2 linked regions of the Saccharomyces cerevisiae S288C genome follow. Changing the gene in region 1 together with any one later gene gives a genetic interaction. Each region holds a gene or a part of one and is shown in the gene's direction. Other genes may lie near its edges.

The links.
Region 2: mutations in MGM101 (region 1) and FAD1 together harm fitness more than expected from each alone (negative genetic interaction), as found in Saccharomyces cerevisiae (one large-scale study listed by BioGRID).

What each region holds. Positions count from the first base shown.
Region 1 is NC_001142.9:699,141-704,922, forward strand, and holds MGM101 (Mgm101p), read left to right. Parts: upstream 1-1,741; coding exon 1,742-2,551; downstream 2,552-5,782. Other genes in the region: PMT4 (dolichyl-phosphate-mannose-protein mannosyltransferase), read right to left, coding at 1-1,474; 40S ribosomal protein eS4 RPS4A, read right to left, coding at 2,887-3,658, 3,915-3,928; YJR146W (uncharacterized protein), read left to right, coding at 4,745-5,098; HMS2 (Hms2p), read left to right, coding at 5,056-5,782. UniProt on the Saccharomyces cerevisiae protein: Performs an essential function in the repair of oxidatively damaged mtDNA that is required for the maintenance of the mitochondrial genome. Binds to DNA.
Region 2 is NC_001136.10:372,188-376,626, reverse strand, and holds FAD1 (FMN adenylyltransferase), read left to right. Parts: upstream 1-3,018; coding exon 3,019-3,939; downstream 3,940-4,439. Other genes in the region: spliceosome assembly protein PRP11, read left to right, coding at 147-947; MTF2 (Mtf2p), read left to right, coding at 1,338-2,660; mitochondrial 37S ribosomal protein mS37 MRP10, read right to left, coding at 4,092-4,379. UniProt on the Saccharomyces cerevisiae protein: Catalyzes the adenylation of flavin mononucleotide (FMN) to form flavin adenine dinucleotide (FAD) coenzyme.

The sequences.
Region 1 (5,782 bases):
ACTCGTCGTTGTGAGTCCACAAAGCTACGGAGGTATCAACGTGGAAAAGACGGAAAGAAACCGTTTTACTCTTTAAAACGTGACCTTCATCTGATTTTTTCAGTGGTTGGAATGCAAAAAGTGTTTCAGGATATAATTCCCCATCACCTTCTTCTAAAGTTACTGTAGTGATTTCTTCATTGGTAGGGTAAAATGGGGAGGCGACATCATGGGCTAACAAGTAGGTATCGGTGGCTACATGTCTCAATCTTATATGCTGGTTCAATAGAACAGCTTGTCCTTTACCGACATCACTGCCATGGGGTGGTAACACTTCCCATTGATTGTTGAAGTCAGGATGCGTGTAACCAGTAACTTGTTGACCAGCGGATGAGATACGACCATCTTCATACCGTTGTGGGTAACGTGCCAAGTGAGAATGTAAGAATGCGTCAGTATCTTGATGTTTGATAGTGATAATATCAAAATAATTGACGGTTTTAGAGTCAACACTTAAGGGAGAGTCCTTAAGTGTTTCTTGAAATTCAGCAGACATAAATGCGTCGCCAGGACCTGAAGTATTCAAAACGGTGAAATGAACCCAGAACCAAAACAAGTAAATCACAAATGGAATCAAAACTAAACCATTCAGCCTTTTACTAAAATGTCTCATGAACTGCCTCAAGGACAAACCCGCCTTGATGTCCAGTAATTGCCATAAGTTGACCACAGCAGCAAAACCAATAGCGGAATATGTCATAACACCAACATATTTTGTGGAAATCACGAAGGATAAAGACAAACCAGTAGCGTGTAACCAAATATACCAACTCCATGTAAAAGGTTGACGCAATTGGCACTTGTAGAAACGAACGTAACAATACATAGTAGCAGCAATAGAAATAATCAAGATGGCATCCAGTAAAATCAGCCTAGTTTCTGTAACATGCGCAGTATCGATTGCAACCAAGAGAGATGCAAACGCACATGTAATAGCCCTGAAATTCAGTTCCTTCAAAGTGTTGAACATAATTGGTACAGTCAATGTGCCCAATATCGCGTTGAAAGAACGGTACGCGATATATGGAGCTGGATGAGTTTCATAAGAATACCCAATCTCATCAAACTTAAAGGAACCATCATAGCCACATAACCAACCAATGAAGGCAATCATCATCTTAGCAAAAGGGGGATGAACGTCAAAGAAATAAGACCTTTCTAAGTAATACGATGCAAATTTCCCGAAATGTACCTCATCAAAAACAACTTCTTTTGGATACCAGATCTTATAAAATCTAGCAGCAAACGCTAATAAGGTAACAATTGTTACCCAAAAGCTATAACGTGATTCCGGTTCCGGTAGTGGCTGCAAGAGCCAATGTTCAGCAACTTGTTCACATTTAGGCGCGGCCTTCGTGTACTTCAACGAAGGATCGTCTACGTCCTTAGTGGAAGGTGGTAACTTCCCATGGTTACGTTTTTTGGGCACAGACATCTGTACTTCTGTGGACTGTCAGAAAATATCTTGGTAAAATATGTATCGACAAACTTCTTAGTACAGTTAATATAGAAGTAAGGATTCGAGTGAGTAGTTTTGATAAAGCGCGTTTCATTATGCATATTTTTCATTTTTTATTTTTTTTGTCAAGAAATACACGAATAACATCACGAAATTTATCGACAGAATAATGGAAGAAACTATTTAAAAAGACGGTAGAGACTAAAAAAGGAAAGAAAGGACAAGTAGGAAGATCAGCGTACGATGAAAAGCATTTTCAAGGTTAGAGGATGTGTATCGCATGCTGCTCAATTTTGCCAAAAAAGAACCGTGGTGAGTACCGGCACTAGTAACACCGCAACAGCCGGTGCAGTGAGGAAAAGTTTCAACAGTACCGAAACCAAGCCTGTATTTGCAACAAAATCGGAAGCTGGCAATGGAAGCCACATGAAGGAATATTCAAGCGGCATTAACTCTAAACTCGGCGGGACCCCTTTGGAAACCCGCAGCACCGCCGATGATTCTTTGAACAATAGTTATAAGCAAGTCAAGGGAGACATTGACTGGTATACTTCATGGTATGGCCTAGGTATGAAGCCCTTTGAAGCAAAAGTGCAAAAGGATCTAATCGAGCCTCTGGACCCTAAGGATATAGAAATCAAGCCAGATGGTTTGATATACTTGCCTGAAATTAAATACCGTAGAATACTGAACAAAGCTTTTGGCGCAGGCGGTTGGGGGCTAGTGCCAAGATCACAAACAATAGTGACATCCAAGCTGGTCACTAGGGAGTACGGTCTTATTTGCCATGGTCAATTGATCAGTGTGGCAAGAGGCGAACAAGACTATTTCAACGAAGCCGGCATACCAACTGCTACAGAAGGTTGCAAAAGTAATGCATTAATGAGGTGTTGCAAAGATCTCGGCGTCGGTTCTGAATTATGGGACCCTGTTTTCATAAAGAAATTCAAAGTGGATCATTGTACTGAGAAGTTTGTGGAACATGTTACCACCAAGAGAAAGAAGAAAATTTGGTTAAGAAAGGACAGACAAGTTGAATATCCTTATAAATAGTCAATATGCGAACCATATAAGCTAATTTTAGTAAGTATATATATTCCAATACAATCACACACACACACACACACACACACACACACACATACGCATATATTGTGGTAGTGCGTAGTGTCAGTACGTCTTATCATACGCCTTCTATTTCAGGGTTAGCGTATTTTTACTATCAATATTACAATACGGATATATATACACACACCTAATATATATATTATACGTTATATTACTGCCAGTCGAAAAAGGAAGATACGATGTATTATTTTAAAATTCAATTTCTAATAAACATTAATGGAGATATACAAAAGAAGAAAATAATTAAGTTGTTATGAAATTTATAAACCTTGTTGAGCTCTTCTTCTGTCACGTTCTTCAGCAATAGACAACTTGATACCCTTACCCTTTGGCAAAGAAATGTAAGGCTTACCTTGTTCACCGATGACGAAGACATTGTTCAATCTAGTGACGAAAGTGTTGTCCAAGGAGTCCTTGATGTGAACTAAATCGAAACCACCATCGTGTCTTTCCTTGTGAACGATAGTACCGATACGACCCAAGTTACGACCACCAGTAACGTAAACCAACTTACCGGCATCGAACTTGATGAAATCAGTAATCTTACCAGAGGCCAAGTCGATCTTAACAGTGTCATTGACCTTGATGTTTGGGTCTGGGTATCTGATAGTTCTACCATCGTGGGTAACAACGTATGGAACACCCTTCTTACCTAATTGAACCTTCTTGACCTTACCCAACTTGTAAGAAGCTTCTTCATCGGTGATACGGTGGACAGCGAATCTACCCTTGACATCGTAGACCAATCTGAAGTTTTCATTGGTGGCATCTAGAGTGATGACATCCATGAAACCAGCTGGGTAGGTAGTGTCGGTTCTAACCTTACCGTCCACTTTAACGTGACGTTGCATCAAGATAGCCTTGACTTCACGGCCGTTCAAAGCATACTTTAATCTGTTTCTTAGAAAGACAATCAATGGCAAGGATTCACGCAATTTGTGTGGACCAGCAGATGGTCTTGGGGCGTAACAACCGGACAACTTGTCCAATAACCAGTGGTGTGGAGCTGCTAATCTTTTTAGATGCTTCTTTCTGTACGGAAAAAAATGAGAAAAAAGGGCAAAAATGAATGTATAATGAAGATACAGACATTTTATTTTTTTCATTGTGCTCGTTAGTAAATCATTACTCGTAAAATATTTGTACAATCCCAGGATGATCTAAAATTAAATGGACATAAACTGGTTCATTGTTGTTCCTATTCGTTTGGTTAAGACTCCACTTGTTTCTTGTCTATCATTCTTCTCATCCTTGCGTAATTATAATCAAAGTCTATAGTCAAACATACGGTCCTCTAGCCATCTTTGCGTATTGATTCTTTGGTTTGTTTTGGGCAGAAAAATCGCTATATAAGAAAGTATTTCAACACTAGATTAAATTATAGTATAATTTTTAATATACTAGTATTGCCGACAATCTCTGAAATTTCAATACTACCACACAGAACAGGACTTGCCAGGGCCAGTCCGAGCCAGCCTAACTCCAAGACCACGTACTAAGTGAATTGCTACTCCCCCTTACCACGACTACAAAGAGCTACACGGCCTCCCGGCCTAGGCCGCTGCTACTTTCAACTGATGTCACCGAAAAAAATAACGGAAAACGACAGTTCAAGAAAAAAAGAACGCAGGAAGAAAAAGGAAGCAAAATTACAGAATGTACGGCTGTTTAAAAATAAATAGTGGATGCATGGGTGCTTCCACGCGTCTCTGGGAAAAAAAACCAGGATATTTTAATGTTTGTTTATTTGTTTATTTCCTGCTGAACTGAATATTGAAAACATCGAAAAAATGCAGTACCCAGCTCTCCATTAGGACTTTTTACGTAATGACGAAAATGGACAAGCTGCGCAGGAAAGGACTACGAAAAGTATGCTGCCATAATGACAAGATAAGGCGCAACACACGTAATCATGACTAATGGTTGCACAGACGGTAGGCCAGGAGAAGGATTAGATCTCGTGCCGAACGACAGCAAGCTAGCTAGACTATGTTATCTGAGTGTAAACGAAAGCGCAGCAGTCTCTGCAAGAGCACGTGCGACGTGTCTGGTGTGCAAAAACCCTCTAGAGAAACATTGCTAAGGTTTACCGATGCAGGAAATCTTTAGTTCTAAAAGATGAAAGTCGGAAAAGCCAAAAAGAAACCGGAAATCTTCTCTGCGCATTGTTCTGTGGCCACGGCCTTCCTGGACCCGTCCTTCTTTTACCCGAACTTTGTCGCCCAAAAGGCATCTCATTATAATGACAAAACTGGATCTGCAAATATTTGGACATATATCTCCAGAACGGGCTCACTTCTCCTCTTCACCCAGGTGGTATATAGGAAGAGTAAGTGGACGCATCAGTCCGCGACATTTGCGGACTGTATATATTGCCAGTCAGGGCAGTCGCCAAGTGTGTCTCTTTCGTGTAGCGACGCACGTCAGACATGGATGCAACATCGAGGATGGAGCAGCCTGATGTCTTTGTAAGCAAACTCTACCACCTGCTGCAGGGGAACGCTTACTCGAACATAATACAATGGTCGACTGATGGCAGCAAGCTCGTCATTTGGAATCCGGACCAGTTCACCAAAGTCATCCTAGAGCGATTTTTTGGTATTCACACCTTTGCAGCATTCGTTAAGCAATTGAGCAAATATAACTTCCAGAAGGCGGGCCGCCCGGACTGCGTGGAGTTTTCCAACATTCATTTTCAAAAAGATAACATTAATAGCCTCTCACTGGTTAAAGCTCATCAGTCTGCCGCCACTCCCAATGTCGCCGCCGTCAATAATATGAATAAGCAGTGTACTTTTCACTGGGACCCTTTCAAAGTGAACTCCATTCTAAGCAAGGCCATCGGCAAGCCTTCCTTCGAGAAATTAGTGAAAAATGTTGACAGGCTTCAGGGCAATCTTGATGAGCTTAAGTCGACAAACGCAGATAGTCTGCGTATTATAAGGGAAATTAACGCCAGCTTACAGACAATCTCCTACCACCAGTTTCACGCCTACCAAACCGCTAACTTCCTTCAAGAAAATTTTGAAGCCATCAAAAAGGTTGTATGCCCGGACTCTTGTCTACAACACCAGCAACGCCAACCAAAGCGCCCCAAACGCTACTCGTTGCTGTTACTAATACCAAACGCATCCGAATTGTCAGAAACACCTTTGA
Region 2 (4,439 bases), on another chromosome or scaffold:
GTGAAATATTACATGTACCGCCCATCTCACTAAAAAAATGAAAAAAAAAAATCTGCTAAAGACGCAAGGCTCTCACAAATAGCTTAATGTAAGAAGGGCAGGTGGAACAGCAAATTCAAATCATTTAACGCATCCATACATTCAAAATGAACTATTTAGAAGGCGTTGGGTCAAAGAAAGGAGGTGGTGGTATAGCCTCAGAATCTCAGTTTAACTTACAACGAAGGAAAGAAGTCGAATCATTACTTAGTAAAGGCGAAAATGTCCCGTACACTTTCCAAGATGAAAAGGACGATCAAGTAAGGTCCAATCCGTACATTTACAAGAATCATTCCGGTAAACTGGTTTGTAAACTATGTAATACAATGCACATGTCGTGGTCCAGCGTTGAAAGGCATTTGGGTGGTAAAAAACATGGTTTAAATGTGTTAAGGCGTGGTATCAGTATAGAGAAAAGTTCTCTAGGGAGAGAAGGCCAAACAACTCATGATTTCCGACAACAACAAAAGATAATTGAAGCTAAGCAATCTTTAAAGAATAACGGTACGATCCCTGTTTGTAAAATAGCTACCGTGAAAAACCCGAAGAACGGTTCAGTAGGTTTGGCTATCCAGGTAAATTATAGCAGTGAAGTCAAAGAAAATAGTGTCGATAGCGATGATAAGGCTAAAGTCCCTCCTCTCATTAGGATTGTATCTGGTTTAGAGCTATCAGATACCAAACAGAAGGGAAAAAAATTTCTCGTTATTGCGTATGAACCCTTTGAAAATATTGCTATTGAGCTACCTCCAAACGAAATATTATTCAGCGAAAACAATGACATGGACAATAATAACGATGGAGTAGATGAATTAAATAAAAAGTGTACATTTTGGGATGCTATATCAAAACTTTATTACGTTCAATTTTTCTTTAAACAAGCCGAACAAGAACAAGCCGATGTATGACAGTATTATTTTTGGGTAACGTTAATAATCGGCATACAAAACTCTAACCAAATTGGATTATATAATAGCTATTAAGGAAACAATTGTCTTTACAAGAGTTTTTTTTACGAAATTTTCCCATCCAATGTGCACTTATTCTCAGGGAGTATAATAACCATATTCCTCTAAAATTATATTACTGCTCAACTTCCATGCGCTTTTGCGATCTAGAGTATTTATGTTACCATTTATCAACAGTATCTAGTACTCGCAGCATACATACGTATTTATTCAGAAAAATGTAATTAGGCGAACAAGGCCGAAAACTGTGATGTGACAACGCTTGCTATACTTGAGAGATAATTGTAAAGGAAGAAGAGGGAACTAAGGAAGAGTACAACACGCCATACAATGATCAGAACATCATCTATATTAAAAAACTGTAACTATAGATACATACATTGCATCCATAGATGCTTGCTGAATGAAGCCAATTTGAAAGATAGAAAAACTCACAACGTAGAAAGAGTTTCAAATGAAAAGACATTTGAACAAGCTCTCGAAGAGGAACGTAAGGTATTTGGAGAACTATTCGAAGCTGGAGCAAGGGTTGAAAACATGAGGCACACTAATGCTAGCAAAATAATTGACAAGTATTACAATGGGCTACAGGACAACTCCGAGGGAACTAGTGTAAAAAAAGAAAAAATTGTTTTTAACCACAGTCAAAGAGCTCAAAGGAAGCTTCCAAATAAGGACCATGAATTCCTGAAGGAAACAGCAGGCAATGACTATGTCTACGAACGGGCAGAACCTTCTGCTATTAGCACTAAAACGATAAGTGAGCAGACAAGAACTTTGCTGGAAAAGATATTTGACGAAGATAATAGCATTAATAAAAGCAACAGAGAATTGCTGAATCTTAATCTGCGCAAGGGCTCGGGAATGGAAGCTTTGAGGCAGCCAGTTGCACATTCCAACGTCAAATTTAGCGAGGAAGTGATGCAAGAAATTGGTAATAAGATTCGGTACCAAACCACACTGGATCAGGTTTTAGAACCTCACATTGACTACTTGAGGGAAGCTGTTAAAAGTGATTACGATCTTTTAAGATACCTAAAGCAATCACTAGACATTTACAAGAAAAGGAACAAAGACCTAGAGTTAAAGATGAATGCAGAATCTTCAAACATTTTCGAAGACATTAGAAGTGCGTGTATAAATAAACCGGCAGAACTACCGAAACCGCTTGCAATGACTTTACCATATATTATAGTCAAATCGCTTAGATTAGGTGACTTTGATTTCCCGGCAGACAGAAAGTACACATTGATCTCCTATGTTTATAATGAATGTAAAAACAACATGGACGCTTCACTGTACCTAACAATTTGTAATGTTGATTTCTACAATTTGCTGGTTCAGCTATTGTGGGAAAACTTCCAGGAGATTCGCTACTTGAGACGTGTGGTTACCGAGATGAGCGTTAATGGTGTCATCGGAAATATTGAAACCGTGGATATATTGGATAAGATTGTCAAAGAAATGAGAAGTTTAAATGAGGATGTCTTTCTTGAAGCAGGAGAACAGCTCAGTGCAGATGAGGAAGTTTCGTCCAGCGCAAATAAAATAGTGAATGTAGGTGTTTTATGGAATAAAGACACGAATAATGACTTACTAATTGTTGAAAATTATCTCAAAAGCCTCAAAAAAAATTTAACTAGAGACAGGTAGAAAATTATTCAAACCTTGTAAATAGTGTTATATATATGTGTTAGACTTAAAAGCGCTAATAAACGTTCCTGCTCGCATTTAACTTCTGTTCCAATTTTCCTATTTTTTAGTTAGCTTGTTCGGCAGATTTCAAATTCATTGAGTCCGAGGAAACAAAAGGATGGGAAGAGCTCAAAATTTGGAGATGGGTTTCATATACAACACGTTGGTTAGCAAGAACCTAAGGATCCGTCTATAGAAAGAACCTCGAAAAATCTTCGAAAGATTTTGTTGACTGAGAGTGGAAAAAACTGATATTACTTTCTCGGTATAGAGGGCAACATTTGCAAAAAGTAATAAACAAATAGGGGAGCACAATATGCAGTTGAGCAAGGCTGCTGAGATGTGTTATGAGATAACAAACTCTTACTTACACATAGACCAGAAATCTCAGATAATAGCAAGTACACAAGAAGCGATACGGTTGACAAGAAAATACTTACTAAGTGAAATTTTTGTACGTTGGAGTCCACTGAATGGGGAAATATCATTCTCGTACAACGGAGGAAAAGATTGCCAGGTATTACTACTGTTATATCTGAGTTGCTTATGGGAATATTTCTTCATTAAGGCTCAAAATTCCCAATTCGATTTCGAGTTTCAAAGCTTCCCCATGCAAAGACTTCCAACTGTTTTCATTGATCAAGAAGAAACTTTCCCTACATTAGAGAATTTTGTACTGGAAACCTCAGAGCGATATTGCCTTTCCTTATACGAATCACAAAGGCAATCTGGTGCATCGGTCAATATGGCAGACGCATTTAGAGATTTTATAAAGATATACCCTGAGACCGAAGCTATAGTGATAGGTATTAGACACACAGACCCATTTGGTGAAGCATTAAAGCCTATTCAAAGAACAGATTCTAACTGGCCTGATTTTATGAGGTTGCAACCTCTCTTACACTGGGACTTAACCAATATATGGAGTTTCTTACTGTATTCTAATGAGCCAATTTGTGGACTATATGGTAAAGGTTTCACATCAATCGGCGGAATTAACAACTCATTGCCTAACCCACACTTGAGAAAGGACTCCAATAATCCAGCCTTGCATTTTGAATGGGAAATCATTCATGCATTTGGCAAGGACGCAGAAGGCGAACGTAGTTCCGCTATAAACACGTCACCTATTTCCGTGGTGGATAAGGAAAGATTCAGCAAATACCATGACAATTACTATCCTGGCTGGTATTTGGTTGATGACACTTTAGAGAGAGCAGGCAGGATCAAGAATTAAGTACGGTTTAACGGAGGAAAGAAAATAAAATGCTGATGTTACTATTAGATTAAAAGTTTATATATTTTCCGTTGAGACTATTTAATTTGTATATACAAGGCCATGACTTTAATATTATCAAGTTTTCATTCTTGCTGCTTTTGGATATAAAATTAATCATGGGGTTTACCGTTGATCCTATCATACAGCCTAGCGGCGTGATAGTTAATATTGCTCTTTTGAACGTTGTTTCTTTTGCCGAGGGCACTTTCACTAGTGCAACTTTTCAATTCCGTTACTAAGCCAGCACATTTAGGGCTCATATGACCATATGAAGACCAGCATTGTAATAAGTTTGACATTAAAACAAGACATTTGTTCGCTTCTTGCCTAATGATAGGTTTCTTCACTTTTAGTCTGGGAAGAGGGGGTAATCTATAAACTGGTGGTTTTCCGGACATTAATGGGCACTCTTTATTTTAGATGGAAGTTTCGGCGAGCCCTCGTGTTGCTATGGTAAG